3 linked regions of the Saccharomyces cerevisiae S288C genome follow. The protein of the gene in region 2 binds, or shares a complex with, the protein of the main gene of each other region. Each region holds a gene or a part of one and is shown on either strand. Other genes may lie near its edges.

The links.
Region 1: ORC4 (region 2) and ORC3 share a complex: the UniProt entries of both Saccharomyces cerevisiae proteins name them as parts of the origin recognition complex.
Region 3: ORC4 (region 2) and ORC2 share a complex: the UniProt entries of both Saccharomyces cerevisiae proteins name them as parts of the origin recognition complex.

What each region holds. Positions count from the first base shown.
Region 1 is NC_001144.5:138,416-149,621, forward strand, and holds ORC3 (origin recognition complex subunit 3), read left to right. Parts: upstream 1-2,657; coding exon 2,658-4,508; downstream 4,509-11,206. Other genes in the region: SPO75 (Spo75p), read right to left, coding at 1-2,131; SFI1 (Sfi1p), read left to right, coding at 4,786-7,626; H3 histone acetyltransferase RTT109, read left to right, coding at 7,876-9,186; dynamin-related GTPase DNM1, read left to right, coding at 9,475-11,206. UniProt on the Saccharomyces cerevisiae protein: Component of the origin recognition complex (ORC) that binds origins of replication. It has a role in both chromosomal replication and mating type transcriptional silencing. Binds to the ARS consensus sequence (ACS) of origins of replication.
Region 2 is NC_001148.4:862,115-873,320, reverse strand, and holds ORC4 (origin recognition complex subunit 4), read left to right. Parts: upstream 1-5,016; coding exon 5,017-6,606; downstream 6,607-11,206. Other genes in the region: MMS1 (Mms1p), read right to left, coding at 1-2,618; TIF3 (Tif3p), read left to right, coding at 3,366-4,676; cyclin-dependent serine/threonine protein kinase SGV1, read left to right, coding at 6,899-8,872; GPH1 (glycogen phosphorylase), read right to left, coding at 9,307-11,206. UniProt on the Saccharomyces cerevisiae protein: Component of the origin recognition complex (ORC) that binds origins of replication. It has a role in both chromosomal replication and mating type transcriptional silencing. Binds to the ARS consensus sequence (ACS) of origins of replication.
Region 3 is NC_001134.8:357,560-368,765, forward strand, and holds ORC2 (origin recognition complex subunit 2), read right to left. Parts: upstream 4,956-11,206; coding exon 3,093-4,955; downstream 1-3,092. Other genes in the region: serine/threonine protein kinase AKL1, read right to left, coding at 1-2,628; tRNA methyltransferase TRM7, read right to left, coding at 7,228-8,160; YBR062C (uncharacterized protein), read right to left, coding at 8,417-8,943, 9,026-9,041; CNM1 (Cnm1p), read right to left, coding at 9,411-10,625; Pre-mRNA-splicing factor ECM2, read right to left, coding at 11,025-11,206. UniProt on the Saccharomyces cerevisiae protein: Component of the origin recognition complex (ORC) that binds origins of replication. It has a role in both chromosomal replication and mating type transcriptional silencing. Binds to the ARS consensus sequence (ACS) of origins of replication.

The sequences.
Region 1 (11,206 bases), on a different chromosome or scaffold from region 2:
ATTTGAACAAGTAACTGAAAGAAAAGAAAACCATCGAAAATGAGATGCAACATAATAATAATATAATAGGAGCAACAACACTGTATATGATACCAATACAGCCCAACACTGAGAATATAGGATAAATAGATCCTAGTTGGAAAAATAAAGATGTCTTTAACCTCTTAAATTGAGCATGTGGAGTACTCCTTTTCCATTTATAGTAGAACAATTCAAAAAGTAGCTCTTTTATTCTTAACAAATTACCGCCTGCATAAGCCATTCCCCTAATCAAAACAAAAGAACAGAAAAAGTTTGCGCATTTAGGCAAGTCGTTGGCCAGGAGAGCAGGGATACTGACAGGATTGTTAAGAAGCCTCTCAATAATTATAGAAAATCCAGAAGATATTGTAACAACTACGAAAAGATGAATGAAGACAAAGACGAAATACCAATTCTGGACATCAGCTTCTATTTGCGCTCCAGTTTTCAACCCTCGAAGGTAACTCAGCCAACGGAAAAAGTAGGGTACGATTTCTATTATTATTATTAAGGTTACTATTGGAATCAAATTCTTTGCCACTTCTCTTATAAATGGAGATTGGAAATGAATTATTTTTGTAAACGGTATTAGTGAGGAAATATTTGGTATTTGTGATATTAACCCAAGGAACGCGACAGGCAAAATCCAGCCTATAATCACAAAAATTCGCAATATATTTGCCGAGAAATATTTGGCACTTTTCCAAAGGGGTGATGAATCGAGGATATTTCTCCAAATAATGTCATTAACATTGGGGCCTATTATTACTTTTAAATTTTGGGTGGGTAGTCTATACGAAAGCAACTCACCTATAACGTTTGACAATAATGTGGACTTGAAGGTAATGAACATCTTATCCATATAAATGTCTGTGCCCGACGATAAATCGTCGGGCAGTGCCTGCTTGGTTTCTGAAGTTGCTTTCAAGGAATTTACTTGGAATTTAATGAGTTTTTCCTTGCGTATTATTTTATCAAGGATTCTGTATTTCCTTTCTAATATTGTTTCTGTATTTACATACAGTTTAGGGTAATATAACGGAAAGATGCTTGACTTTTTCCAGCGCAGACGAATTTTTGTGCAATAGTATGAAATTCTAAATTGAGTTAAAAATACCAATTTTTTGTACTGAAATAATAGATGGTTTTTCAACTTTGAAAAGAAAAATCTTTTGTGATTTGCTATCAAATGCCTGTGTATTGAAACTCTTCTAAAATATTTCTCTAAAATAATCTCAAAGATAATTTGTTCTTTTGATTTTTGTAATTTATTTAACTTTATTTCTAATTTGTGGACTTTCTTCAAATTTTTTGGAATGAAATGCGTCACGCCAAAGCAATCACTGTGTAGCGGCTGAAAAAAAGTTTCTAAAGAAATACTTTGGGTAACCAATTTACTTGAGAATCCTTCCAAATATAGAATGTTTTGGTATTTACTTTTCGTCAAAACGGAATATCCTAGTCGATTAACGAACCTCAGTTCCGAAGAAAGAATGAAGTGAAACCAGAGTACAACAAAGATACTCAAAAACAAGTGACAGATTAAAGTATTCGATGAATTAGGTGATAGATTTGACATGGTCCACTTGTCAAGTTTACTTGTCGTCCTGAAACTTTGCTCATAACGTTCACCTTCATTTTCTTTCAAAATATCCCTGGAAAAATAATGGATTGGAATTAGTATTGGAATGTTGATAATTGATAACACTGCAAAAAAGAATATCAAAAGTTTGAGAAACCGTAAAAATAGATAATTGTCTAGGCCATACCTTTCGTTTCGTTCGAATTTTTCCATAGGATCTAACATTCTTCCGGGAAGTTGCTTGAGAAATGCAAATAATGACCAATAATTTTTTATTTTTTTCTTAGCAAAACAAACTTTAGAACCTGGATGGATTTTCAGAACGACATTGGCCTGATATATAGTCTTGAATCTTGATCTTAAAATAATAAAGAGTGACAGCTGAAATAAAAAGTACAAAAAAGAAAACAATATACCAGATATGAACCCTTTTAGTGAGATTCCAGCATGTCTTTGCGCAGATCCAAATCTTTCTTTGTCTTGAAATTTATTCAGTAAATTAAAAGTCAGTTCTTTAGTAGCATTCATCTTCTTGGTAAGTCTTTTTCTTGTTTTTGAAAAAGAGTTCCTGAAGTTTGTCTACTGTGAATATACTTTGCACATTTGTTTAATTTTTAAACACGCTATAATTTGTGTCATAAAGAATTTTTTGTAGAATAGCTTTTTTTTTAATAGGAAAAAAAAATAAAAAAAGGTGGAAAAGACAATCTTTTCCAGAAACTTGAAACTATACTGGAGATGAAGGGTTGTCGTTGGTTGCGTTACGAGACAGGCTTGACAATTTCACAAGAGTAATGTTTCATTACCTGCTGTTTTATTATCTTTATATTTAGTAAGACCAGCAGAAACGCTACACGTGATGATAATGGAACTAAGCATTCTGTTAGATGGTAAGAATTTTTTTTACCTTCCATTACCACTAACGCCTTTTTTAGTGTCTTTTTGATATTTACTGACGTATTTTTCCGCACCGTAATTTGAAGAAAAAGAAAAGTGACAAAAGATGGCATTGTTTACATACAGAGTCGTAGTATCACAAGAGTAGTCCAACAGGATGAGCGACCTTAACCAATCCAAAAAGATGAACGTCAGCGAGTTTGCTGACGCCCAAAGGAGCCACTATACAGTATACCCCAGTTTGCCTCAAAGTAACAAAAATGATAAACACATTCCCTTTGTCAAACTTCTATCAGGCAAAGAATCGGAAGTGAACGTGGAAAAAAGATGGGAATTGTATCATCAGTTACATTCCCACTTTCATGATCAAGTAGATCATATTATCGATAATATTGAAGCAGACTTGAAAGCAGAGATTTCAGACCTTTTATATAGTGAAACTACTCAGAAAAGGCGATGCTTTAACACTATTTTCCTATTAGGTTCAGATAGTACGACAAAAATTGAACTTAAAGACGAATCTTCTCGCTACAACGTTTTGATTGAATTGACTCCGAAAGAATCTCCGAATGTAAGAATGATGCTTCGTAGGTCTATGTACAAACTTTACAGCGCAGCTGATGCAGAAGAACATCCAACTATCAAGTATGAAGACATTAACGATGAAGATGGCGATTTTACCGAGCAAAACAATGATGTATCATACGATCTGTCACTTGTGGAAAACTTCAAAAGGCTTTTTGGAAAAGACTTAGCAATGGTATTTAATTTTAAAGATGTAGATTCTATTAACTTCAACACATTGGATAACTTCATAATTCTATTGAAAAGTGCCTTCAAGTATGACCATGTTAAAATAAGTTTAATCTTTAATATTAATACAAACTTGTCAAATATTGAGAAAAATTTGAGACAATCAACCATACGACTTCTGAAGAGAAATTATCATAAACTAGACGTGTCGAGTAATAAAGGATTTAAGTACGGAAACCAAATCTTTCAAAGCTTTTTGGATACGGTTGATGGCAAACTAAATCTTTCAGATCGTTTTGTGGAATTCATTCTCAGCAAGATGGCAAATAATACTAATCACAACTTACAATTATTGACGAAGATGCTGGATTATTCGTTGATGTCGTACTTTTTCCAGAATGCCTTTTCAGTATTCATTGACCCTGTAAATGTTGATTTTTTGAACGACGACTACTTAAAAATACTGAGCAGATGTCCTACATTCATGTTCTTTGTCGAAGGTCTTATAAAGCAGCATGCTCCTGCTGACGAAATTCTTTCATTATTGACAAACAAAAACAGAGGCCTAGAAGAGTTTTTTGTTGAGTTTTTGGTAAGAGAGAACCCGATTAACGGGCATGCTAAGTTTGTTGCTCGATTCCTCGAAGAAGAATTGAATATAACCAATTTTAATCTGATAGAATTATATCATAATTTGCTTATTGGCAAACTAGACTCCTATCTAGATCGTTGGTCAGCATGTAAAGAGTATAAGGATCGGCTTCATTTTGAACCCATTGATACAATTTTTCAAGAGCTATTTACTTTGGACAACAGAAGTGGATTACTTACCCAGTCGATTTTCCCTTCTTACAAGTCAAATATCGAAGATAACTTACTAAGTTGGGAGCAGGTGCTGCCTTCGCTTGATAAAGAAAATTATGATACTCTTTCTGGAGATTTGGATAAAATAATGGCTCCGGTACTGGGTCAGCTATTCAAGCTTTATCGTGAGGCGAATATGACTATCAACATTTACGATTTCTACATTGCGTTCAGAGAAACATTACCAAAAGAGGAAATATTAAATTTCATAAGAAAAGATCCCTCCAACACCAAACTCTTAGAACTAGCAGAAACACCGGACGCATTTGACAAAGTAGCACTAATTTTATTCATGCAAGCAATCTTCGCCTTTGAAAACATGGGTCTCATTAAGTTTCAAAGCACCAAGAGTTACGATCTGGTAGAAAAATGTGTCTGGAGAGGAATTTAGATAAAGAATGCACGGATAAATAAGTAAATAAATAACCATACATATATAGAACCATAGAACCACGTTTTTGTAATGAACAGTCTACCTGTATCTCATCATTTTTCTGTGTTAACTATTATTATTATTATTATCGAATGGAGGGTAATATTATGTATAGGTAAAATAAATAGATAGTGCCATGATGCGCGAAGATTGGCAATGGGAAACTCAAGAAGGCAGCAACAAAAAAATAAAGGTGGCCTATTAATCACAATCTATTGCCTATATGTGCTAGGTTATGGGCAAATTCGGCACGACAAATAAATCAACGGAGAATCTTCTGCGTGATAAATTCGTACCCGAGACATCTCCAACTAATATTCCCACTGATGTACTCATCAAGCAAGGGCAAATAACGGATTCCACCGAATCACTAATTCATGGAGGCGCAGAAAGGTATATTGTTAACGCTTTAAAGCCTATAGAATTAAATAAAACTGAAGGCTTTTTCGAAGACCCGCCGTTCCATCTTCCTTCTCCACCGGTTGATTCGACAAATCTGGAGTATGAAGACGTTACCGATCTTCCTAAGAATGGTTTACGATATGATTTGAATGATATATCCGTTGAGGTAATCGAAGATTTATACCGCCAGATTGAAGCTTTTTTGGTTCATTTCAAACTATCCAGAAGTTTTTTACAAATTTTCAAAAACTATGTCAATATTCTTATTCAAGAAGGCATCAATCCTTTACGCGATGAGTACTTCACAATATTGGAAGATGAACTGAAAGGTTTTTTCACTTTCAATTCTGTTATAGAAGAGATTTTAGAAATATTTTTAATCCACCCTCGCAACAAATTCATTGCATTGTCCCTTGCAGAATATACCTACGCTAAGAACAAAATCAGAAGACATTTTAATCACTGGAAGACTGTATGTGAATTGAATGAAGAGGCAAACAGGTTTGCAAATCAAGCAAAGCTGAGGGTACAGGAAGCCGTCTTCTATATTTGGAGTGATAAAACATTAAAATACTCACAGATGGCCAACGATGAAGCTGAAAGTTTTAGGAATACTTGGCTACTATTTCGCTCGTTCCAACAATGGATAACTTTAACACAAACTCTTAAGGAGCAGTCAAGGTTAGCAGATCAGGCCTTTTTGAATAAGATGTTTAGGAAAATTTTAAAGGCACAAGAGCATTGGAAACACTTAGAAACTGTTAACACTGACAACATTAAGAAGATATTTTTACGAACAACATTTCATATATGGAAGCTAAGACATAAAGAAATAAACTACCACGGGTTGGAAAGAAGGATTTTCGAAAGAATAAAACAGAAAGTTATAAACTATGAATACAATAAGAGCATTGCAGAAAAAGTGAGGTCGTTTTCTCTACAAAGAAAATATCTGAATAAATGGGAAAAGAAAAACATTGAAAACGAAGATAAACTTGGGGCACTTTATGAACTGGAGAATAAATTCATCAAACAAAAGTTTTTTCGCAAATTAAACCGGTCATTTCAACATAGTCAACAAGAGGCAATTGCAAAGAGTAAACTAAATCAGACACTTTTGAGGTGCGTTTTTGAGAAGATGTGGCTGAAAAGATTCGAAGACCATCTGCATTTGTATTCAATTGTAAGTCTAAAAGAGGCTAACCTCGTGAAGCGTATTTTTCATTCATGGAAAAAACTTCTATATATTGACCTCAAAGCAAGCGATTATTCGAGGACTAATTTGCTCAAGTCATCATTGCGAAGTTGGAAACTTGAAGTAAAGTTAAAAATATTTGAGCAGAAATGTAAAAAGAGTATTCAAGCAAGCGCGTATCGTACATGGAGGAAAAGAATACAGTATGGGAAAATATCGAGCGAACATGTTAAAACGGCATTTTGTGCAAAATATCTTGGTGTGTGGAAAAGGAGGATGCTACAAATGAATTCTATGAATGACGAAGCATCCAAATTTTACGAAGAGGGTCTCGTAAATGAGTGTCTAGCTATATGGAAAGAACGCCTGATTAAAACTAAGGAATTGGAGGATAGATACAATTTCTTATGTAAGACACATGCAATTTTGACTGTAAAACGGACGCTAATGCATATTGATAATGTTCATTTGCTATATACGAAACTGGCGCCCTCTATGGATAGAGTAAAGCTTTCTAAGGCCTTTTTAAAGTGGCGGAAAGCCACAAGGTTCAAAGTCAGGCATAAGTTAAACGATATTTTACACGTTTATGAAAAGAGTAAAGAGCGCGAACTTCAAAGCCAACTGTTCAACGCTTGGCGAAATAGATTTTGCTTCTACACAGAAGAATGTAACATTCAGGCTATTTCAAAGAGAAACTACCAGCTTGAAAAAATGGTGCTGAAGAAATTTAGAGAAAGACTTTTAGAGATAGTAAAATCAGAAGAATTAGCAGACGAAGTTCGCGAAGAATTTGTGTTAGTCAAGACGTTTTATATTTGGAAAACTCATCTAGACGAAATATTTTATATGAGTACATTATTGGAACAATCGGAAGCTAATAAACAATTCATAATTACATCCAAATTCTTGAAAATGTGGAGTCTTCGATTCCTAAAAATTAAGCGTAATGATGAGACAGTCGAGGTGTTTCGTCATCGGTGGGACAGGGCCACTGTAAGGGGATTGTTATTATTATGGAAAAATCGTTCAGACAGTTCTCCAAAGAGAAGGAAGGACTTCAATCTTAAACATGAACTAAAAACTCCCATAAGATCAGACTCTCAAAACGCCTCAACCATACCAGGCTCAGAAAGAATAAAGCAGCACAGAATGGAAGCGATGAAGTCGCATTATAGCAGGGCAAGAAGAGCCATACCAAGTCCGGTGAAATCTTCCAGTGTTCTTGATTCTACAGCTAAAAAACAGATCAACCTTGAAAGTACGACAGGCTTAAACGGATCTCCGACGCGAGGAAAACCTCTAAGGTATTCTCCTAGGCGTACCACTAGAAACATGCCATCCAAAGTTGACCATATTGATTTTGGCAGAATACCCGCTGTACCTTTTAGCCTAAGCGCCAATTCTCCTAAAATCGATCAAGATATGGATTATATAAGAGAGCATGATAAATCCCCGTTAAGTCGTAAACGTCAATAGATATATATATTATGTACGTATGTATGTGTGCATATGTAGTCGTAACCTTTCTTGCTTCTGAGATGCATACAATTACTAATAATATTCTCCAGGTCTATGAAAACATCACAACATACTATACTTTTCGTGTTCGCGTTGTAAGCTATAATGGAAAATGGACGCCATAACGCATTACTTAACAAACTACAGTTTGTCAATAGAGTTGTCCAGTAGAGTTAAAAGGTCAATTCAACCGGTCTTCAATAAGACATGTCACTGAATGACTTCCTAAGTTCCGTGCTACCTGTCAGTGAACAATTTGAATACTTATCGTTGCAATCTATTCCGTTAGAAACCCATGCTGTCGTAACCCCAAATAAGGACGACAAAAGGGTCCCAAAAAGCACGATCAAGACTCAACACTTCTTTAGTCTATTTCACCAAGGAAAAGTTTTTTTTTCATTAGAAGTGTATGTGTATGTCACGCTTTGGGATGAAGCAGATGCCGAACGGTTAATATTTGTATCAAAGGCAGACACTAATGGTTATTGTAATACGAGGGTAAGCGTTAGAGATATTACAAAAATAATATTAGAATTTATATTATCAATCGACCCGAATTACTATCTTCAAAAAGTAAAACCGGCAATAAGATCATATAAGAAGATATCCCCCGAGCTGATTAGCGCAGCCAGTACGCCAGCAAGAACTTTAAGGATTTTGGCTAGAAGGCTTAAACAGTCAGGCAGCACCGTTTTGAAAGAAATAGAATCTCCACGTTTTCAACAAGATCTTTATCTCTCATTCACCTGTCCTCGTGAGATTTTGACCAAAATTTGTTTATTTACTAGACCTGCATCCCAGTACCTCTTCCCAGATTCTTCAAAAAACAGCAAAAAGCATATACTAAATGGCGAGGAACTAATGAAATGGTGGGGCTTTATTTTGGATAGATTACTAATTGAATGCTTTCAAAATGATACACAAGCAAAATTAAGGATACCGGGCGAAGATCCTGCTCGAGTAAGATCATACCTAAGAGGGATGAAATATCCACTATGGCAAGTGGGTGATATATTTACCTCTAAAGAAAATTCTCTTGCGGTATATAATATTCCATTATTCCCAGACGATCCTAAGGCTAGATTTATACACCAATTGGCAGAGGAAGATCGCCTCCTCAAAGTAAGCTTATCATCCTTCTGGATTGAACTACAAGAGCGTCAAGAGTTCAAATTAAGTGTCACATCATCTGTAATGGGTATTTCGGGATACTCTCTTGCCACTCCATCTTTATTTCCATCTAGTGCCGATGTTATTGTACCGAAGTCAAGGAAGCAGTTTAGGGCAATCAAGAAGTACATTACTGGAGAGGAATACGATACAGAGGAAGGCGCAATAGAAGCTTTCACCAATATTCGTGATTTTCTATTGCTCAGAATGGCAACAAATCTTCAATCTTTAACAGGGAAGAGGGAGCATCGGGAGAGAAATCAGCCGGTTCCTGCAAGCAACATCAACACGTTGGCGATAACAATGCTAAAACCGCGTAAAAAAGCTAAAGCCTTGCCTAAAACTTGATACATATTGATATTTATTATTTAGTACACGTATGTAGCATCGATCTTAGAAAATGCATGTTTGTATTTATTGTTAGTACCTTGATCGCCACCTTTCTAGGTAATGATAGGTCCTCAACTTTTACTACGCGGTGCACGCCTGTAAGGTCGGGCAAAACAAAGTGTGGGAACAATAAATAAGAGGGTAGGATGAAATATTACCTTTACTCTACTGCTCAGGTTGGCCACAATTTGCTAAAGAGTTTATCATTAAGTAGCTACCAGCGAATCTAAATACGACGGATAAAGAATGGCTAGTTTAGAAGATCTTATTCCTACTGTCAACAAGCTGCAGGATGTTATGTACGACTCCGGGATCGATACACTCGATTTGCCCATTTTAGCTGTTGTTGGGTCACAATCCTCCGGGAAATCCTCGATATTGGAAACGTTAGTTGGAAGAGATTTTTTACCTAGGGGTACTGGTATTGTCACAAGAAGACCGTTAGTTCTTCAACTTAATAACATATCTCCAAATTCTCCTCTAATAGAGGAAGATGATAACTCAGTTAATCCACATGATGAAGTTACAAAAATATCAGGATTCGAAGCTGGTACGAAGCCCTTGGAGTATAGGGGCAAGGAAAGAAATCATGCAGATGAGTGGGGGGAATTCCTGCATATACCAGGAAAACGGTTTTATGATTTCGACGATATCAAAAGAGAAATCGAAAACGAAACAGCGAGGATAGCCGGTAAGGATAAGGGCATCAGTAAGATTCCGATTAATTTGAAAGTGTTTTCCCCTCATGTTTTGAATCTAACGCTAGTAGATTTGCCTGGGATTACAAAGGTTCCTATTGGGGAACAACCACCTGATATTGAAAAGCAAATCAAGAATTTGATCCTAGACTATATAGCCACTCCAAATTGTTTAATCTTGGCCGTCTCTCCAGCTAACGTTGATCTTGTTAATTCTGAATCCTTAAAGTTGGCCAGAGAGGTAGACCCTCAGGGCAAAAGGACTATTGGTGTCATTACCAAATTAGATTTGATGGATTCTGGGACTAATGCTCTAGATATCTTGTCTGGAAAAATGTATCCTCTGAAATTGGGGTTTGTTGGTGTAGTGAATCGCTCGCAACAGGATATTCAATTGAACAAAACCGTTGAAGAATCATTGGACAAAGAAGAGGACTATTTCAGGAAACATCCAGTCTACAGAACTATTTCAACAAAGTGTGGTACGCGTTATTTAGCTAAATTGCTAAACCAGACATTATTAAGCCACATTAGAGACAAGCTTCCGGATATTAAAACCAAGTTAAATACCCTGATCTCTCAAACCGAACAAGAGCTCGCTAGATACGGTGGCGTAGGAGCTACTACTAATGAAAGCAGAGCTAGCCTTGTTCTTCAACTAATGAATAAGTTTTCTACAAACTTCATTTCATCTATAGATGGTACATCCTCCGACATTAATACGAAGGAACTCTGTGGTGGTGCCCGTATTTATTACATTTACAATAATGTTTTTGGGAATTCTTTGAAGTCGATTGATCCAACTTCTAATTTATCCGTTCTTGATGTTAGAACAGCGATTAGAAATTCTACTGGTCCCCGTCCTACATTATTTGTACCTGAGTTGGCTTTTGACCTATTGGTTAAACCTCAAATTAAACTTTTACTAGAACCATCTCAACGTTGCGTCGAGTTAGTTTACGAGGAGCTGATGAAAATATGCCATAAATGTGGCTCCGCTGAGCTAGCTAGATATCCTAAATTGAAGAGTATGTTAATAGAAGTTATAAGCGAACTACTTAGAGAAAGGTTACAACCTACTCGCTCTTACGTTGAAAGCTTGATTGACATACATCGAGCCTACATCAATACTAATCATCCTAATTTTTTAAGTGCAACAGAAGCAATGGATGACATCATGAAAACGCGTAGAAAACGGAATCAAGAGTTATTGAAAAGTAAGTTGTCTCAACAGGAGAATGGACAAACCAACGGTATTAATGGTACTTCATCTATCTCTT
Region 2 (11,206 bases):
AATGCCAAACATTGATTCACACCAAAGCTTCTAAATTTAATATCTTTCCCTTGAAAATTAACTCTGCTTGTACATCTGGATCCTTTTTTGAAGCAGTTGTTCTGTAAAGTGTGCACCTCAAAATATGATTCATAATCGAGAGAGCAAAAATAAGGGCCGTTTATTAACGCCTGCTGAACACTCAAAATATACACATCAGAAAAATCAAGTGAATCACTAATCCAGTCAGAAAAGGGTGTACGAATGACACAGTCTGGTAAAAGGATCCAAATGTCATACTTGGTTGGATCATCTGTAGACTCTTTGATTTGAAAATTGACACTCGTGACAGTTCCTAACTGCTTGAAGAACTTGCTCATGCCTTTGCTGCTGCTTAAGTTTGAAACTAAGGCGCCAGACTCATCAACAGCGTCTATATTTTCAATATAAGAGACACAGCCAAGCCCAGCATTCCAAACTATTAAAATACCATCATTGTATGTAACGTTTTCGAATTCCCAACCTGGAGAAATCTTACGCAACTCTTTGTCCCCACCAATGGGATCGATGTATATCGTATCCCTAGTTACTTGAATCAAGTTATTTTTCGTAAAATTTAGAAGGATAGTTTCGTTTTCAGTATCACATAGTAAATCTTCTATATTTATCAGTCCTTGAACGGGATCATCATTATCGATTGTCGTTGTCATAGTTAAATCTAATAAAAATATTCTGTTGTTAGAAACAGCGTCGGTCGCAAAAATTAACGAACTTTCGGTATTTGACTGGTTTATTCCAAGTCTCTGTAACAGAGCAATATCAAGGTTCTTACATTTCCATATCCTAAGATGTCTAAAAATTTGAAATTGCTTTAAGTGGATAAGTTGATGAGTTTTCCTGAGTTTATAATCAATGCAAGGTTGAGTTATTGCATTTGGTGAGGTAAGCCAAACTTGAGAATTTCTCGTGTCATTGATGTTAGAGCCTGTGTGTGTGTTATAAAATTTAGAAGACGTAAATGCTAAAATTTGAGAGTTCTCCTCTGTGGAACTATCAATTGTGTGCTTGAAGGTGATATTTTTCAAAGGCTTAATAACGTCTTTTTTATCTAAACATCTCAAATCTTCTAGAGATAATGTTAGCTCTAATGTTCTACTAAAACTTATGACCACCAGTACATAACTTGAGGATCTGGAGTCTAAATTTATCGGATTTGAAGGTAGTGGTGAAATGGATTTCAATCCTTTGAACCTAGTTAGCTCGTAAAATTTTAAATTACCATTTACTATTGTCGATCGTTCGGTGACGCAAAAACAAATATTTCCTGTCGAGGAGGATATTATGGTACAATATTGGAATTTTTTAAATGTATGTGGGTGTAGTTCTTGTAATTTTAATAACAATAAAGGAGCTGGAAAAAATGACTTGATTCCCTTGAGAGCCTTCAATTGGAATGAGTGGAATTCAGTCTCTCCTGACATAATTTGATTTGCAGAAACTAAAGAGAACTTTAGGGGTGTTTCGACTAAACATGCATTTAGTCCAATGGGTATTGTCATATTAGTCTTCTCACCATCAAATACTGTCAATTGATATACCTCTTTTTTCTTTATTTCGTTGTTGTTCCATTCTATGACAAAGTAGACTATCCTTTCATATCTTATGGCTGTTATAAATATAATGAAATAGGGATCTAAATCAGTGTAATTTGTTGGGAAAAAGGATCCGTTCATAATCACGGAATCGGTCAATGTTAAATTGTTTACTAATTGAAAAGTAAATGGTAAATGGAATTCAAAAAATTTGCAAATGCCTAGTTCCTTATGTATAAGAACAAACTGCTTCTCGTTTTGGTGCTTGATTATGTTCCACTGACCTTTTTGTCCCAGGTTCCAATATTGTAGCAAATATGTCTCTTTACCGTCATCAAGCGGTAAAATAGACAATAAGTGACCACTTGGTTGAGTGAGTAATATTAAAATTGCAACGTTGTTGGGTTTTATAGCTATGCTGCCAGATATGCCAGACTGTATGTATGTTATTGAAGTGCTACCTGTTTGAAAGATTCCATTGTTGGATACTATTAAACTGAAATGCTTTTGTTGGATTTCTTCCAGCGCCTGCAATTCAATTTTTGGTTCTTTAACATTACCGCTGTCACTGCTCATTTCTATGTCATCCAATGCTTCTATATCTGAATCATCTAAGGTTTCTGGGTTTTTATCAATGTCAAAAAGACTACCTATTAGTGTGTTATACTTTTGAGGGAAGCCGTCTGACAGTTCAGAACGTTCTTGCAAAATGTATTTTAATACTGGTTTAAAATTTATCGGACTTGAGATTGGATAACAAAATTGAGGCATTTGACCAATATTCGAATCGTGATATCTGAGCATCATCATTGATGGTTCTAGCTTTGGCCCTACACAAGGTCTCACCCAAGTTTCATCCTCGGTATTTTGATAAAAAAGCTCAGGTTCATTCCACTCACGTGTGGTGCTTGAATCAATTAATAAATTGGGGGAAACTCGGAATGACTTATGATTCAACCAATCTTGCAGCTCAAGTTTGCCAAAATCCGACGGGCGACGAATATAATGTTCATACCTGTCTAAACCATGAGTTCGCAAACCTAGCATACCTAATTGACACCGTACTACTTTAATTAGACCCAGAAACGAAACGGAATGTGAAGCGATTTCTTCTCTTCTTCCAATTCTTTTGCAGAGCCCATCTCTGGCAAAGGGCCATTTGTTGGAAATCACTCTAACATGGCTTCTGTTTCCCGATAATATGCGGGTAATGCCTCGCACTTCCTTTGGTTTTGAATTTATGCTATTCTCTTTCTTTGCACATCTAACTTGAAGTGATTAGTACCAGATTGAGCTCAGCTTCTCAAAATTATTTCGAACATATCAATTTAGTTTGTAAGTCATAAAAATCGATATTTTTTGCTTTTTCCTTTTTTCCTAAATCTTCTTGACTGCTTGCAATCTTTGTATCTTCATCTTTCCTTTCTCATGTTTCCAAATTTAGCCTGTATATTCATAGAGACTTCTTAAAGTAAATTTTGGCAGGATAATAGGGTACTGAAATCTATGTTGCTTTTTATATCCTGGCGCTACTTAGCCGCCCAACCTTTTTGTCTTCTTGTCTTTTTTTCTTTTTGGCTTTATTTCTCATCAGATCACGCACCACGGAATGAAAATTTTTTTGCGGAAATCAGCATCGCTAAAGAAAAGCAGAAATAGAAGCAGAAGAGATAGATATAACTACAGAGTTAGAGAAGATCAGTAGACCAATAAGCGGGATTATCATAAAACTCGAGTTTATATTAGCTTTCATCTGTCTTTAGGAAAATAATACCATAATAAAAAGGACACATCATGGCTCCACCAAAGAAAACCGTAAAGAAGATGGACCTTACGTCATTTTTAAATGATGACACCTTTGGTTCATCTTGGGCTGAAGAAGATGTCGATTTGAATAAGATCACAATTCCTATTGAAACCGCTAATGCAAACACTATTCCATTGTCCGAATTGGCTCATGCTAAAAACAACAGCAATAACACGCGTTCAGGCGGCTTTGGTGGCAGTTTTGGAGGTAGATCTAGATTAGACCCTGCTTTGGGGGGCGGTTCTTCCGATAGAAGAGAGGAATACCCTGTTCCAGATGCTCCACCATATAGGGCTGTCATAAACAACATTCCATGGGATATTACCCCAGAGGGTGTTCAAGCCTGGGTTGAAGATGGTTTAGTTAAGCCTGAAGCGGTTGAAGAAGTTGTTTTGCCAAAGAATCTAAGAGACCCAACAAGATTAAAGGGTAATGCTTTCGTTACTTTGAAAGAAAGAGCAGATTTGGTCGCCGTTCTGAAGTTCAACGGTACTAAATTGAATGAGAGAACTGTTTACGTTTCTGTTGCGGCTCCAAGAAGAGGGGGAGGTGCAGATGTTGATTGGAGTAGTGCTAGAGGCTCCAATTTCCAAGGTGATGGAAGAGAAGATGCACCAGATCTTGATTGGGGTGCCGCTAGAGGTTCTAACTTCAGAGGTCCAAGAAGAGAAAGAGAAGAAGTTGATATTGACTGGACTGCTGCAAGAGGTTCCAATTTCCAAGGCTCTTCCAGACCACCAAGAAGAGAAAGAGAAGAAGTTGATATCGACTGGAGCGCTGCAAGAGGCTCCAATTTCCAAGGCTCTTCCAGACCACCAAGAAGAGAAAGAGAAGAGCCAGATATTGACTGGAGTGCAGCTAGAGGCTCTAACTTTCAAAGCTCCTCGAGGCCACCAAGAAGAGAAAGAGAAGAGCCAGATATTGACTGGAGTGCAGCCAGAGGTTCCAACTTCCAAAGCTCCTCAAGACCACCAAGAAGAGAAAGAGAAAAGGAAGAACCAGCTTTGGATTGGGGTGCTGCCAGAGGTGCTCAGTTTGGTAAGCCTCAACAAACCAAAAATACCTACAAGGATAGGTCTCTAACTAACAAAAAGACTACTGATGAGCAACCAAAAATCCAGAAGTCTGTTTATGATGTTTTACGTACTGAAGATGATGATGAAGATGAAGAGGCTGAAAAGCAAAATGGAGACGCAAAAGAAAACAAAGTTGATGCGGCAGTTGAAAAGCTACAGGATAAAACTGCTCAATTGACTGTTGAAGATGGTGACAATTGGGAAGTTGTTGGTAAGAAATAGAGTGTTGTATGATGATAAAATGTACATTTGTATTTACTGTTTGCTTTTTTTCTTTCTTGTTTTTCTACTCTCCTTTCTACCAGGTATTCTAACTCTATTATATAATTAAAAAAAAAATAACCATATATTTTGTATTAAGTTTCATACATGTGTTCAAGTGTATTTTTGGATTTATCATTTTTCTATGTGAGGTAAGTTTTTGAATGTCCCATTTTCCTTTCGTTTTTGGAAAGTTCTAAGAAAAAGCATTAACAATTAAAAAAAAAAAAAAAATCTAAATAATACTGATAGAAATATCAAATATAAACTACTAATATCGGTAATATTCAAAAGAAGAAGCATGACTATAAGCGAAGCTCGTCTATCACCGCAAGTCAATCTTCTCCCAATAAAGAGGCACTCAAACGAAGAGGTAGAGGAGACTGCAGCGATTCTAAAAAAGCGTACTATAGATAATGAAAAGTGTAAAGACAGCGACCCTGGTTTTGGTTCCCTTCAAAGAAGGTTACTGCAGCAACTTTATGGCACACTTCCTACGGACGAAAAGATAATCTTCACATATTTACAAGATTGTCAACAAGAGATCGATAGAATCATTAAACAATCCATTATTCAGAAAGAGAGTCATTCAGTAATTCTCGTGGGGCCCAGACAAAGTTACAAAACATACTTATTAGACTATGAACTGTCTTTGTTGCAACAATCTTATAAAGAGCAGTTTATAACTATCAGGTTGAATGGGTTTATTCACTCCGAACAAACAGCTATTAACGGTATAGCAACTCAATTGGAACAGCAGTTGCAGAAAATTCATGGCAGTGAAGAAAAAATTGACGATACTTCATTAGAGACTATTAGCAGTGGTTCTTTGACAGAAGTGTTTGAGAAAATTCTTTTACTCTTAGATTCGACCACGAAGACAAGAAATGAAGATAGTGGTGAGGTTGACAGAGAGAGTATAACAAAGATAACAGTTGTTTTTATATTCGATGAAATTGATACATTTGCTGGGCCTGTGAGGCAAACTTTATTATACAATCTTTTTGACATGGTAGAACATTCTCGGGTACCTGTTTGCATTTTTGGCTGCACAACGAAATTAAATATCTTGGAATATTTAGAAAAGAGGGTAAAGAGTAGATTTTCTCAAAGAGTGATTTATATGCCGCAAATACAGAATCTAGACGATATGGTTGACGCCGTCAGAAATTTACTTACAGTTCGCTCTGAAATCTCCCCCTGGGTTTCACAATGGAATGAAACGTTGGAAAAAGAACTATCCGACCCTCGATCGAATTTGAATAGACATATTAGGATGAATTTCGAAACCTTTAGGTCATTACCTACATTGAAAAATAGCATAATTCCATTAGTAGCGACATCCAAAAATTTTGGTTCACTCTGCACTGCCATAAAATCGTGTTCTTTTCTTGACATATACAATAAGAACCAACTATCTAATAATTTAACAGGAAGGCTCCAATCTTTATCCGATTTAGAGTTAGCCATTTTGATCTCAGCCGCTAGGGTTGCCTTAAGGGCGAAAGACGGATCTTTTAATTTTAATTTAGCTTATGCAGAGTATGAAAAGATGATTAAAGCTATCAACTCCAGAATTCCCACCGTGGCTCCTACTACAAATGTGGGAACAGGTCAAAGTACTTTTTCTATCGACAATACTATCAAACTATGGTTGAAAAAGGACGTCAAGAACGTTTGGGAAAATTTAGTGCAACTGGATTTTTTTACCGAGAAATCAGCCGTTGGTTTGAGAGATAATGCGACCGCAGCATTTTACGCTAGCAATTATCAATTTCAGGGCACCATGATCCCGTTTGACTTGAGAAGTTACCAGATGCAGATCATTCTTCAGGAATTAAGAAGAATTATCCCCAAATCTAATATGTACTACTCCTGGACACAACTGTGAATCTTGGGAACAATATACAGACATTTTATTGGCGGTAGCAACTCTGATATTCCACTGTTCAGCTTTCCTAATAAGTAAGTTCAAGATTATGTGGTCATCGCGTCGAACGGAAATACACCCATACACCAAACCTCTGTGAATTTGAAAAATTCACATATGCATTTAATAGAGCATAGGCAATGTAGAGAGAGAAATTAACAATGGTGAAAAGAAATATTACCAAACACCAGCAAAAGAAATTGTATAGTATTAGCAGTACATTCGTGGTCAAGCAGAATAACAGTAAAATAATATGAGTGATAATGGTTCCCCCGCGGTTCTTCCAAAAACCGAATTTAATAAATACAAAATCGGCAAAGTGAAGAGTACACCAGCCATCCAGCGAGATGCGAAGACTAACTTAACATACATCAAACTAAGAAAAAGAAGTAGTGAGAAAGTTTACGGGTGTACAGTTTTCCAGAATCATTATCGTGAGGATGAAAAATTAGGACAAGGAACATTTGGTGAGGTTTATAAGGGAATTCATTTAGAGACTCAAAGACAAGTGGCAATGAAAAAAATTATAGTTAGCGTTGAAAAAGATCTGTTTCCTATAACTGCACAACGAGAAATTACTATTTTAAAGCGTTTAAACCACAAAAATATTATTAAACTAATCGAAATGGTGTATGACCATTCACCGGATATTACAAATGCGGCATCCAGCAACCTACATAAGTCATTCTACATGATCCTGCCGTATATGGTAGCAGATCTGTCGGGCGTTTTGCATAATCCGAGAATCAACTTAGAGATGTGCGATATAAAGAATATGATGCTACAAATATTAGAAGGCCTAAATTATATTCATTGTGCAAAATTCATGCATAGGGATATAAAGACAGCAAATATTTTGATTGACCACAACGGTGTTTTAAAGCTTGCTGATTTTGGTTTAGCAAGATTATATTATGGCTGTCCTCCAAACTTAAAGTATCCTGGTGGTGCAGGTTCCGGCGCCAAATATACATCAGTAGTCGTAACGAGATGGTATAGAGCACCTGAGTTGGTGCTTGGTGATAAACAGTATACAACAGCTGTTGATATATGGGGTGTCGGATGCGTTTTCGCAGAATTTTTTGAGAAAAAACCTATTTTACAGGGAAAAACGGATATTGATCAGGGACATGTTATTTTCAAACTACTTGGTACACCGACAGAAGAAGATTGGGCCGTGGCTAGATATTTGCCAGGTGCTGAACTAACAACAACTAATTACAAGCCAACGTTGAGGGAAAGATTTGGTAAATATCTAAGTGAAACAGGTCTAGATTTTTTAGGACAGTTGTTAGCGTTAGATCCTTACAAGAGGTTGACCGCTATGTCTGCTAAACACCATCCTTGGTTTAAAGAGGACCCTTTACCATCAGAGAAGATAACATTACCGACGGAAGAAAGTCATGAAGCTGATATTAAGAGGTACAAGGAAGAAATGCACCAATCATTGTCCCAAAGAGTACCTACTGCGCCAAGAGGTCATATAGTTGAAAAGGGTGAATCACCTGTCGTGAAAAATCTTGGGGCGATCCCAAGAGGCCCCAAGAAAGATGACGCAAGTTTTTTGCCTCCATCAAAGAACGTATTGGCTAAGCCGCCTCCTTCGAAAATAAGAGAACTACATCAAAATCCTAGACCGTATCATGTGAACAGCGGATATGCTAAAACTGCGATTCCACCGCCAGCAGCCCCTGCAGGAGTTAATAGATACGGACCCAACAATAGTTCCAGAAATAATCGCTTCAGCGGCAACAGCACTGCACCCAACAACAGCAGGAATCCCGTAAATCGATTTCATCCTGAGACAAATGTCAGCTCTAAATATAATAAAGTACCTTTGCCATTGGGGCCTCAGTCAAGATACCAGGGTAATTCAAATGAGTCCCGGTACAAAAACTCGCCAAATGACTCTAGATATCATAACCCTAGGTACGTGAACAAGCCGGAAACCAACTTCAATAGGCAACCACAGAAATATAGTCGCCAAGAATCCAATGCGCCAATCAATAAAAATTATAATCCTTCAAACGGTTCTCGCAATATGGCTGGTGATCATCATCAAGGCTCGAGACCTTCTCATCCACAATTCCCAATCTCGCCCTCACAGGGGCAGCATCAGCTTACGAGTAAACCAATAGAGAAAAAAAATGGAAGCTTTAAGGATGAAAGAGCGAAACCAGATGAGTCTAAGGAGTTCCAAAATAGTGATATTGCAGATCTATATTAGGTTATACTATTCTCTCTTCCTTTCTGGCCTCGTGGCTAATTACGGAAAGTTGTATACTGACTACTATGTAATCTATCACGTTTTGTCACTGTCTCGCTCTTTTCAAACAATCCATAAAATCGAAACTATTGTCAAAACGTCAGTACATCCTACCTGATAGGGACTGTACCAATGTCAACGTTCGAGTAAGTGATAATAAGGACCGCCTTACCCACCTTCAGGACACTCGGTTTTACACAAGCGTTATCCTGCGCGGATTTTCAATATGAAAACAACTAAGTTTTCCTGTAACATCATATATACCATTTAAAAGAGTGCCAAAAAACCGATAACGATTATTTTAAAGGCGTTTTATATAAGAGAAGAAGTAAAGAGAAAAAAGCGCTTACTAGAAATGGGGAGAAGGGTGCCAAAGAGATAAAAAAAACTCCCAGCTAAGTCACTGGTTCAACGTTCCAAATGGTATCGGAGTATTCCTCGATACAACGATCACTGCTAAAGAAGCCGACGTTTGCAACGCTCAGGACACTCTTTTTTAACCATTCTGACCTTTGATTGTGGAACTCCTGGTCCACTAATTCATGGGTGGCCAGATAGGATTCAAAGTCATCACTGACCAGGTAATAATCGCCGTGGTACTTAATACTGTCGACTAAAGGTTTGAATTCATTTGGATTTTCTGGAGAAAATTGTCCACTTTCAATGTAGGATAAAACAGAATCCAAACTAGATGGTAAATCTTGTGGATGGTATTGATGGTTGTATCTCAATTCTTCGACATTTTCACTTAGGTTACCAAACAAGAAGACATTATCTTCACCAATTTCCCTTGTGATTTCCACATTGGCACCATCAACAGTACCAATAATCAAACCACCGTTCATAACAAACTTCATATTAGAAGTACCAGACGCTTCAGTACCAGCAGTAGAAATATGCTCACTCAAGTCACTTGCTGGAATAATGATTTCAGCCTTAGAAACATTATAATCAGCAACAAAGACAACCTTCAACAAATGCTCAATTGACTCGTCGTTATTAACAATGTCAGCAACACAGTTGATCAATTTTATGATCAGCTTAGCCATGTAGTAACCAGGAGCACTCTTACCACCAAAGATTGAAACCTTGCGTGGATATTTCTTGGCAACTTCTTCGATCGAAGCACCGTTCTTCAGCATATTCTTCATTGCCAGGTAACGGTATATAATACCAAAGACGTTTAGCTGTTGACGCTTATATTCATGAATACGTTTAACTTGCATATCAAACAAGGTGTCGTCCAAATACTCTCTGTTAATGATGTCTACTCCATCATTTTCCTTTTTGATTAAATCTACTAATCTGATCTTATTATTAAGCTTGACTTGGTTCCATTTTTTCAAAAACTCCTTATCTTCAACATATTTTCCCAACTGGGTCAGTTTGGCCATGTCCAACAAATACTCCTCTGTTGGATCGTTAAGGGTTTCACTGATCAGTTTAGCCAATGAAGGGTTAGCTTGCTTCAACCATCTCCTTGGTGTGATACCGTTAGTGACATTGACAAACTTTGATGGACCATAGAACTTGACAAAATCTTTAAATATGGTCGTTTTGATTAATTCAGAGTGCAATTCAGCAACACCATTAACCTTGTGTGAACCAACAATAGCCAAAAAGGCCATTCTGATCTGTCTTTCTGGAGAGTTTTCTTCGATGATGGATATACGAGACAAAAGATCAACATCCTTGGGGAATTTTTTGGCCACATCTTGCAAGAAGAACCAGTTGATATCATATATAATTTCCAAATGTCTGGGTAGCAAATGGCCAAAGAGGCCGACGGGCCATTTTTCCAGGGCCTCTTGCATAACAGTGTGGTTAGTATAAGCAAAAGTCTTGGTCACGATGTCCCAAGCCTCGTGCCAATCTAGTTTTTCTAGATCGACCAAAACTCTCTGTAATTCAACGATGGCTAAAGTTGGATGAGTATCATTCAACTGAATAGCCACTTGGTCAGGAAATTCAGTCCATGGCCTCTTGGATTTTTTGAATCTTCTTAAGATGTCGTGTAAGGATGCAGCACACCAGAAGTACTGCTGTTTCAACCTCAACTCCTTACCTTGAGCAAAGTTATCGTTTGGATACAACACAGCGGTTATAGACTCTGCGCGTTGTTGCTGAGCCACAGAGTTTTTATAGTCACCATTATTGAATTTTGCAAAATCAAATTCTGTTGTTGGCCTTGCTTGCCATAGTCTTAAGTTATTTACATTGGAAGTCTTGAAACCCGGAACTGGGAAATCATACGCGACAGCAAGAACTCTTTCCCCACCGATCCATTGTGACGCA
Region 3 (11,206 bases), on a different chromosome or scaffold from region 2:
AGCTTGTTGAATTGATGCAGACGATGAAGACGATGAAAAGGAGGAGACAGCAGCACCAGTATCATCTCTTGATAAGTCCATCTCATTCAAACTTAAATTTAAAACGCCATTTCGATTATTGTTCGAGCCTTTGATAGTTCCTGAACCGCCGGCATCTTCGATACCGCCAGTTTGAGGCTCATTTGTATCTTGGAAAGATTGCTTTCCTGCATCTTCTTTTAATGGAGATAGTTCAATTAAGAGAGCTTCATTTTTAGAGGATGAGTGCATTGGTTCATTTGCAGAATTTCCTGCAAGAATTGGAGGTTCACCCCCCTGAGCATTTCTCATATCTTCTGTGGTATGATTTGTTCTATCAGAGACGTAAGTACCATTATTATTTGCATTTTGAATTTGCATTTGCTGTTGGACTTGCAGTTGTTGCTGAACTTGCATCTGCTGCTTGGCTTGCATCTGTTGCTTTGCCTGCATCTGTTGTGCCTGCAATTGCTGGGCTTGTATCTGTTGCGCTTGCTGCTGATTCATGGAAATAACAGGTCTCACCATTGGAATTGCTGGGGAATTTTGACTTGGGAGATATCCTGACTGGGAGTTCGTGGCGTAATTTTGAGAAATATTCTGAAAGTTGACTCTTCTATTACCACTATCTCCAGCAATAGTTCCACCCAACTGCATAGGTTTATTGGACCGATCCCTCCCAGTGTAGAAATTTCTTTGGCTATAATTAGCAGGTCCTTTGGGTTGGTCCTGTTGTTGCTGCTGTTGTTCAACTCTAGATTGATACTGAGATTCATCTGGAAAGGTATTCCCTTGTGTACCTGTTTGATTTTGAGCTTGCTGATATCTCTGGCCTTGCTGTTGTTCTTCCAGGAAAAAGTTACTTGCGTCATTGCTCAATTCATTCGTAGAATGGTATGCAACATTCATTTTTGGAAAGGGATTATTCGATTTATGTTGTTTCATCTTATTAATACCAGCAGTTTTCTCGTTCGCCAAGGCTTCGTCTGACCCGATCGTTGCTGCACCATATGATGTGCTCTTCATTGATCTGCCACCTGAAGAATAAGAGCTTGTGCTCTTTTGCCTCTGTGGTAGTGATTGGGTATTCAAACGAGGACTTTGTTCAGAAATAGTCGGATCACTTGATTGTTTGACCAATTCTTTGTCCAAATAAGTATCTAATTCGCTCACGCTTGGATAATATAACTCTCCAGGAGTTTTATTTTCAAAAATTGATTTGTCCTCTATACCTGGAGACTGGATTGTATTGATTTCTTGAGGATTATTGGCTGTACCAGAACTGTTAGCATTCGATGTTGTTCTTGACGATTTATCTTCGGACAGGGTAGACTTCCTCTGATCGGATTGACTTTCTTTCTCTTCTTCAAGTTCTTGGCCGACATTTTGAGATGGTATTCTAGAAACAGCGGCATGACCGTCACTAGCGTTCATGGGAAGTTTGGATGAGATTTCAAAAGAAGAAAGAAACATGTCATTCAGTAAGTTTTCTTCTGAGTCACTCAATTTATTGTTCTGCATAATTTTCTTTTGTTGTAGCTGGTACATTTGCAATTGAACATTTTGTAATTTATTCTGAAACTGCGTATATTTAGAAAAATTATAGGCACCTTCCGCATACTTATCCTCGATTGGAACTTCCACATTTAAAATCTCACATAAATGGTATAATACTTGATAAATGTTCGGTCTCAAATTTGGGTTTTCCGCCAACATGATAATGATTAAGTTGATTAGTTTTGATGAATATTTGTTGACAGGAAATTCATATTTGGAATGTAATATAGCAAATTGACCTGTCATTTCAAAAGGGGTGGTGAAAAATAATAATTTGTAAAGGAAAACTCCCAAAGCCCATATGTCTGATTTTTCGTTAATGGGCAGACATCTGTAAAGGTCAATCATTTCAGGGGACCTATACTGCGGAGTAGTATGCACATAGATGTTTTGAGTCAAAAGAGCAATATCTTGATGAGTAGTGACAATTGGGAAACATGTCGACGTGGACCCAAAATCAGCTAGCTTGAAATTGTTTTTGGCATCTACCAAGACATTTTCAATCTTGATATCGCGATGGATCAAGGACACAGGAAGGTAGTGCATTTGAGAGATAGAAAGAGCAACGTCATACATAATTTTCACAATTTCAGCTTCTGTCAGTTTCGTTGACAATCGTTGGTTCATATAATCTAGCAAAGATTTGTTTGGACACAATTCCATTAGCAAAAGAACCTCAAATCCTTGAACGCCATCACGACGGCGAGAGGCGTTGGAATCGAAGTATTGTACTATATTTGGGGCCCCTTTCAATTTCTTCATTACCTCCACTTCATTTCTCATCTCGTTCAATCCATTCTCATCTTGAACTAATACTCTTTTCAGACATGCGACATCGCCAATCTTTAAGGGAACACTTGCTGTATTATCAAATTCATTAAGATACTCTAGGAATTTCACCACGTAAATTTGAGCAAAGCCACCTTCTGCTAAATAATTTACCACTTCAACTTTATGTGTGCCTACGCAGACAATATGGCCTGGAGTGTACCTCTCTACCGCCGGATGGCCCATTGCCGAAACGCTTCTAGAAGTACCATTCGTGATCGACATGATCAGTGCTAATTAGAAAGAAAATAACAGGCGACAGGGACGAAAACAAGAGCTTGGGAAAACGTAATAGCAAAAAATGAATGGCAACTAAAATTATCTCTATGATGTCCTGTGTTGCTTATGCTCCCGAGGCACCGATTCTGATTCAACAATGCTATTGAATTTACTCATTCAAGAAAGGGGGTTCATAGGATTATGGCTTTTATTCAGTATTTTTAAGTTTTTTCGGTTATTGAGCTCTGAATAGGGCATTTTCAGAATGGCGGGGTTCACCTAAAAAAAATGAAAAACAAATATAGGTCATAACTCGTCTGAATTTTCGAAGAGCTCATCAGACGTTTTTCAGTAGGGTTATATGAGAAGTTTTTTAGTCGTTTTAAGATACATCACTAAGTATTGTTGGTTATGGGAAAGCAAAGCTAGCAAGCCTAGTACTATTACAATTGTTCGTGATATGTATACATTTATAGAGTATTTAAAACGGTTTTCAGAAGTTTTTCAAGTTCCGCATACGTGTAGGGTACCCAAATAATTTCCATTCCAGAATTGTTCTTAGTTATGTTGGCCATTTTATGTTCTATGAATTCTCTAAGCATCGACCTTAGAGCTATCTCATTAGAAGCAATAAAATCAGCGGCACAGAGATGGTTGAAAAGTTTAAGTTCTACTCCAGTTCTTTGAGTACCACGCTTAGGACCTGTGTTAGCGGATAGATTCCCCATATTCTGCATTTGTGTTTCAATAAGCAACTTATACATCTTCTTGGAGTTCACAGTAAGTGATTGTAAGACGTATTTCGCACCTTCAGCACCACTGCTGGTATCGCTTTTACCCATCTTCATCACATCTTGGAACGTAGACTCGACTGTCGACGGTTCAAAATTCGAAATATCATGAAAGACAAAGTTGTAGTTTTGGGCCTTCATGTTGTCCCAGAGGAGCGGAGCGTAAATGTGGTCTGTAGAGGCGACTATGGCGATTTGTCTGATGACGGAGAGGAAGCTTAGCATCGTCTGAAAAGTGTTTTTCCTTATGCTAGGACCATCCAGATTATGCACTACAAGTATTAATTTGATATCTAAAGGTTGATTTTTGTAGAAATCAATCATCTTTTGGATCTGCAAAATCACATGATTGCCCCAGTACTTAGTTTCGCTTCTTGTCAACTCAGCGGGGACCAAAAGATCGGTAATCTCTTTGAAGACGTCACGATAGTTACAGCTAGGGTTGTAACCATTTAAAATAAGGCATGGGATGGAATTTACAGGTTTGTTTTGTTGTAATTCATTCTCATAAGCCAGTTGCGAGTACGCGATTTTCGGAGACAAGTAGTCAATGGCAAACTCTTCCAAAAAATTACGTTTCGAACCTACACCATAAAATAATAAGGAGAATCCTTGAGTCAATTCAAACCAATACTGGGGAAACATTTTTTTCTGAATTTCAAATAACTTTTGCCTGGGACGTTTTTGAAAATTTTCGTTGAAAAAGTTTGATACTAGGGAAAACTCTTCTCTGGTAACGTCAGGTGCCATTGACATGGTGTGCCTTGACTTCGCATTAGTTCTGACAATTTTTCTTTGGTCGAAATATCCTTCAAAAGTATCCAAAAACGAGCTTGCTGACTTGGTTTCCGAAGTTTGGTAGAGCTTTTTATTTTTCGGTACAGGGGTTGGAGTAAAATTTCTACTCAAGGTTAATTTACCTGGGGAGGTTGAGTCTTTATATTCTTTTAAATTATTCATTATAATTTGCTTTAGGGGCGAAGTAAAATCATGATTAGTGGTTAAAGACTTCTTAGATGGTGTTGCAGGTTCTGGTGGCTCGGGTGAATTTGATACAAAATTATCATCAGTTTGTGGAGTCACATTATCTTCATATGTTGTGGTCGCTACCTGTATTTTTTCGCGTTCTCTTTTCTCTTTTATCCCCGTCTTTTCCATCACCTGCTTGTTGTTAGAAGTCTTGCTTTCCTCATTGACATTACCTGATGTATCTTTGTCCAATTTCCTCTTTTTCTTAGAGGAAATTGTATCTTTCTCATCCTTCTTGATCCTATCAGTTAATTCTTCCTGTATCTTTCTTGGTCTTCCACGTTTACGGGGAGCTTTACTTGGCGTTTTAGGTTTGAGTGCCGGATCTGGAGATGTATTTTTCCTTTCGTTGCCTACAAGCGAGATTCTTTCCAACAAATTCTTCTTTGATGAATGAATTCTTCTCAGTTGTCTTTCTCCATGTGGGTCAACCCTTTTTGGGGTTACATTCCTGCTTTTTGCCGGAGACGATAGGATATCATTATGCTCTACAAAGTCTTCCCCATTTAGCATGTTATGGCAATTCGCAGTACTACAAAAACTTGTTTTAAAGATATAGCAAATAAGATCAATGATCAATTATCAAATACAATTTCAGCTAATATATTCTACTTTGTCTTAATTTAAAGGTGGTTCCTATTTCTTTATAACTTTTACACATTGTGAAGAATAACAATTCTGCTTACTATTGTCATTTCCACCTCAATGATGCGGTGAGTGGGTGTTCTGAAAAATTTTCCCGATTTTGCTAGACTAGAAATTGGTACTAGCTGATCCATATCACATTTACGCGAATAAGTCGATATTTATGCATGGATATTTGGCCTTTTACGACACTTATTCTTATGATCCATTGAAAGATGGTTCATATTACATATAAAGGTGCCACAGCAAGTTAATGTCACGGCAGCTAGTGACGCTATTGCTAGTTTACACCTAGATGAGGCCACTGGAGAAATGGTCTCTAAGACAGAGTTGAAGAAGCGTATTAAGGGAATACAAATTGAGGCCAAAAAGCTGTCAAAAAGACTCTTGCGAAACCAAAACCAGCTTCGAAAAGACTAATTTCCTGGCCGGTTTATAGTCATCTCAATACTAGATCACAGCAAATCCAATTAAGAAACAGACTCTTGATATAAATTTTTATCCATACAAGTTCCGATTATATATATTCAATCCTGAATTTTTGGCCAAGTATGCCCATTCAAAAAGGCGAAAATTTCCCTTAAGAGAAGTTTCACATTGCTAGGAGAGTTCATGCAGAAAGAGAATCAGCTTAAAAATTGAAATTCTACGTTCTCAATGGTGGTGTTGAGCTCTAAATTATTTTACAATTTCAGGATTATTACGACGAGAACCCATAAAAAGGAGCATGACCTTTAAGGAGGAGTAATATATATCCACCAAAGAAGACCGGCGGAGATGAGATATATTTTTTTCGTTAACAGAGTGCAATTGACAACTTGTTTGCACTTGCCTGCTAACTGTTTTGGTTTCAAAGATCAAGAAAATAGATAGAACCCGTTTTATTATTCAATTGACATCGCCCGTTATATCAGACGATTTTTGGATCAAAAAAAGTTTATTGGAGCAGAAGCAATTCTGAAATGAAGGTCCTAATATGACCCCAATATGACACATAATTCGGAATCTGCCACTTGTGAGTTTTATCAAGCCTATGCGGATGTTTGTGACTAGTTGGATATGACTGAATTAATACTTTCAGAAATGGACAAGGAGATATGTGATTCTCTATTATCAAATACCATTTGAACCTTACTGGTCCAGCTAAAAAAGAGCTAGAATTCATCTGTTCTAGCCCATGGAAGAGAACCGATATGATTGGCAGATAGAAACCATACTGATTCGCGTCGTATCTAGCACAACCCACGTAAGAACCTTAATTGACGAACAGTCAAACCTTCTTGGCTTTTACAACCGAGAGGAAATACTAAGTCAACATCAAGGTGGCAAACACAATTCACAGTATCTAATTTTTCGTTATATCACATTGGAAAAAGTATTAACGTATAATTTCCATCTGCTGAGCACTTGCTGCCGTTGAGACCGGCGAATTTTTGAAAGAAGTGTATGCCAATAATAAATTGGAAAGCCCATTAAATAATGCTCTTATGTTGGATAAGCTTTCTTCGGTGGAATAAAAGGCACATGTATCAACCTGACTTTCACTTTTACTTAACCCCAAGCTATGTCTCCATTGGCCAGGTACTCAAAAGAACAACCGGGTTTATGTGAGCGTTTCGAGGTTTTTGTATCTAAAAAGGAGATATGTAATGCGTAAACCCGAACTGAACAATTCGTTTGACCAAAAGGGGCTTTCCTACAAACAAGCAGGGCAATAGGAGCAAGGCAAATGGATCAAGGTGATGCTTATGCATAATTTATACGATGGAATCCTTTGTAATGCTCCGTACTACGGTTTACCACCAACCGGCTTTTGGGTTGTAATATTGACAGATTCACCATGTTCTCAATGGTTCTGTCACAATTCGAAAGTTCTATTACTCGCAAATTCGAAAGCAGATGTTTTAAGAGACGAGGTGAAGTAAAAAAGAAGAAAAATGATTGCCATACTCCTCAATGCTTGCATGTAATATAATATAATATAATTACTGTTTCATTTTCTTTTATATTATACAATGGATATTCTACATAACCGTAACCTATATCGTTTTTAATGATTGCAAGGAAAAGTTGATTTTGTAGATAATCTTATAATGTAGTGACTTATTTAATTGTTTGATTAGAGGTAGTAATATTGCAATCAAACTGATCTAGTGAGTTTCCCGCTCCTTTTTAATTCCAAAGCTTTCTTGTAGGGAGGGTTCGTCGGGCTTTGAACAGGATCTAAGGACGATGAAGTGCCTGCAACCGAAGAAGGTAGGTCATGATAAGTGGCATCTGAGTCGAAACTTTGAAGACTTCCACAAGCCATAAATTCGGCTATGTTTCTCTCCTCTTCATTCCAATGAGACAATTTGTCTGATATACACAATTTATTCAAAAAACAGCCTTGAAAAAATTCATCAACGGATGTATTTACATCTAATTTTGGTGTCCAATTGGATGGTGGGTTATAGCCTAAACAAACAATAAAAGCTTCCAGAGATGTACCTCTTGATGATCTTGGCTTTGCGCAAACGATTTTATCGAATAGATAGCCCAATTGGGAATATAGCATATCTATATCACGACCTCTGAAGATCTTTGCCACAAAAGTTCCACCTTTTTTCAGAATGCATGCAGTAAGTTGCAGCGCACTCATAATTAACTGTTGTTGCACGTATTCGTCAAGATCGTGTAACCCAGTAACATCAGGTGCACCATCACTACAAACAAAATCGGCCTTTTCGTTGCCAAACAGTTTTAGAATCCTCGCCAATGTTTTAGGATGAGTGATATCGGCTTGCAACGTTGTCACATGAGGTATGGGGGACATCGGTTGTAAATCGACAGAGACAATTTTCCTGTCCTCCTTATCTGAACTGGGACTTTCATCAAACAGTTTTCTCGAGAGCACTTGTGACCATGAACCTGGTGCTGCACACAAATCTACAACTCTTTTTAAGTTTGGATCATCCAGGAAATGAAATTGGTCATTGAGTTGAAGTAGTTTGAAAGCAGATCTAGCCCTATAGCCCTGCTCTTTTGCTTTTCTATAGTACAAATCTCTTTTATCTTTGCTGCTCTTACCCATCTTGAATACTTTCTTTTTAAGCTTGCCTTGTACTCATCTACTGTTGTTTTACAGTAATGTTAGGAGCATCGCTTGAAAATTTTCAACTCGCGATAATTATTGTTAGCGCAGAATAATAATACCTAGTAAAAAGTTTATCGTTGCTTTTACTTCATCATGATAATCAAAATACTTGTAGGTCTGTCTTCTGTGAAAGAAGACGTAGTTACCTATTCTACTTAGGTTTGGTGTCTTTATATAATATAAAAGAAAGATATTAACCGTACATACCCCAATCTTCTTCCAGTTCTGCTTCAGTTGTATCAATCTCATTAATGATTCGGTGGCCCATAACATTATCTCTGCATAATGGACATGTTGTACTTCGAGATAGCCAGACAGACAAACACTCTAAGTCGAACTTATGATGGCAATGAGGTAATTCAACTACTAAGGGGTACTCATCTTCTAAATAATTAGTGTAACAAATGGAGCAGTTGTCAGTTGCTTTGAGCTTTTTTTTATTGATTCGTGGTAAAGAGGCTGCAAAAGTATCAGGACAGCCCGCACTCTTGCCTTTATCCATTTCTTGCAACCATTCTTCCTGTAATGATTCTGGAAGCATTTGCGATAATAATCGTAAAAGTAGTGTTGAATCTGAATGTGCATCACCCTCACCACTGGTGTTACCAAAGTTTTGAAATAGACCTTGCAGTTGGGATCTGACCTGTCTTCTCTGCTCCTCCTGTGAAGTTCCTCCTACTTCTTGGTAATCCCTTGAGTTTTGTTGTATTCCATGTTCCTCTAATCTAATGATGAGTGCAGATTAAAATTCGGTTAGTTAATTGGCTTTGGGGAACTTACTTCATAATATATCATTACATACCTTCATATGTAGACATTTTTTTGATTGTGATTATGTTTGATGAATATATCTTTCTATTATTTCTTTAGTAGTTTAGGAGTGGCAAAACTGGTATTATAACGAACTGAGCGCTCCTCGGTGCAAACAAAAGCCGCCCACAACAATTTTGACCAACTTAGGCAAAATGAAGCCATTACTAGAAAACGAAGAGTATATATCATCACAGTAATTCGGGTAGGAGAGTTGGTCACCAAAATGGGACTCATATGGAAGGCAAAAATTTCGAGCTTATTCATCATGGTTGTACCCGTAAAGTTTTTGTTTCCGATATATAGAGTACAGATGTTTTCTAGTTAACAGTTGGCATATCTTACATTTTCCGGATTATGTATCAAATAAACTTTATCTATGAATAGTTAGAGTACCACAGTAGAATCGAAGTTGCGCCTTTATCATTAACTAACAATTTTTTTGTGGGAACCGAACTATTATGTCTCCTGGAACAAATCTTTTGACTTTTAACCCGGAGCAAATTGCGAATCCTTGTCAAATTTTGAACTTCATCATAGCGGATAAGATCCTTATGAATCACTTCATCTAATCGCTCTCGTTTTTCTCGGTATGCTCCAGTTATTTCAATTGGGATGTTGTTATCAAAGAAAACTGGTTTTTCCATGAACATAGTCAGGAAAAGTTCGTCACCAAATTGGCTTTTTATAATCAAAAACGATTTACAGATATCACGAATTTCTCTACTCACAGATTTAGTATTATCTCGAGCAGTGAAGCTTCTCATAATTGAAATATTTCCAGGCGCGTATTGTCTGCCATAATGGGAGAGAGATACATCGCATCCCATAGGAACTTTAACCATTGTTTCGTTAATACTTTTTTCAATACCTTTAAACGGCGTTTCATTCGCGCTATCAAGTAATGTATTATTTACCACTGCTTTAAACTCGGGATTCGAGCCAGGTGATCGCGTTAAGACCTCTGTTGTATAATCTTTAGTTAATAAGTCGTACTCATCAAAATTGCCATAGGTGAAATTTTCATCGCTTTGGTTCAAAGTTACCATATTTTGCCTACCAATGCTGAGAACTGACTCCTTTGAATGTAAAACTGTGGATTCCTCATAATTTCTCTCTTCGGTAACGTCACTTCGATTATTGAGGCAGTCTTCATTAAAGTTTATTACAATGGATATGGTATCACCAGTCTTGAACCTACAATCATCTATTTTAGGTGAGCTCGTAGGCATTATTGGAAAAGTGTTCTTTCTCTTAATAGAAGAGATTAAATACCCGATAATCACACCCAAAATTATTGTGGATGCCCAGATATCTTCTTGGTCATTGTTTTTTTTCGCTTCAATCTGTAATCTCTCTGCAAAATTTCGGGAGCCAATAGTGACAACATCGTCAATAATAAGTTTGATGGAATCGGAAAAAGATCTTAAAAATGTAAATGAGTATTTCCAAATAATGGCCAAAATGCTCTTTATATTGGAAAATAAAATAGTTGTTTCGCTCTTCGTAGTATTTAACATTTCCGTTCTTATCATTGTAAAGTCTGAGCCATATTCATATGGAAAAGTGCTTTTTAAACCTAGTTCCTCCATATTTTAGTTTTTTATCGATATTGGAAAAAAAAGAGCTATCAGAAATCAGTCAATATATCATGTACCTATGGAACCTTATCTTTCTCAAAATAATAAATTATAGTGATACTTTTAGAATTGTGTCACTTTCTTTTTATTTGTACTTACAAAATTCGGCCGAGTTATCATCTCGGTAACCGAGAGGAAGAGCCCGAGCAGCTAAAAGCGACAAACCGTACAGATAAAATGTTCGTGCTAATCCAAACTGCAGCATTCCGTATAAATTTGTCAGATATACTGATCAACTTAGATAAAGTTCCCCACTCAACCTGCTTTTGTTTATTACTTGCAAGGTAGATGGATGGTCGAAATTGATCAAACAGTTCGTTTCTTCAACCCATGATTTTTCTTACGTTTCATCTATATTGTTAACTTGTTAGCGCGAGGTTTCGATTTCTTTGATCTGTCCTTATGAACTTTTTTTGATGTCTTTTTCTTGTCATTCTTTGCGTTATCTGTGCTTTTTGTAGGAAAAGAAAGCCCTAGCTCCAACTGAATAAGCTTATTCAAACTTAAACTAAGTTTTATATTTTCTGCAGTGT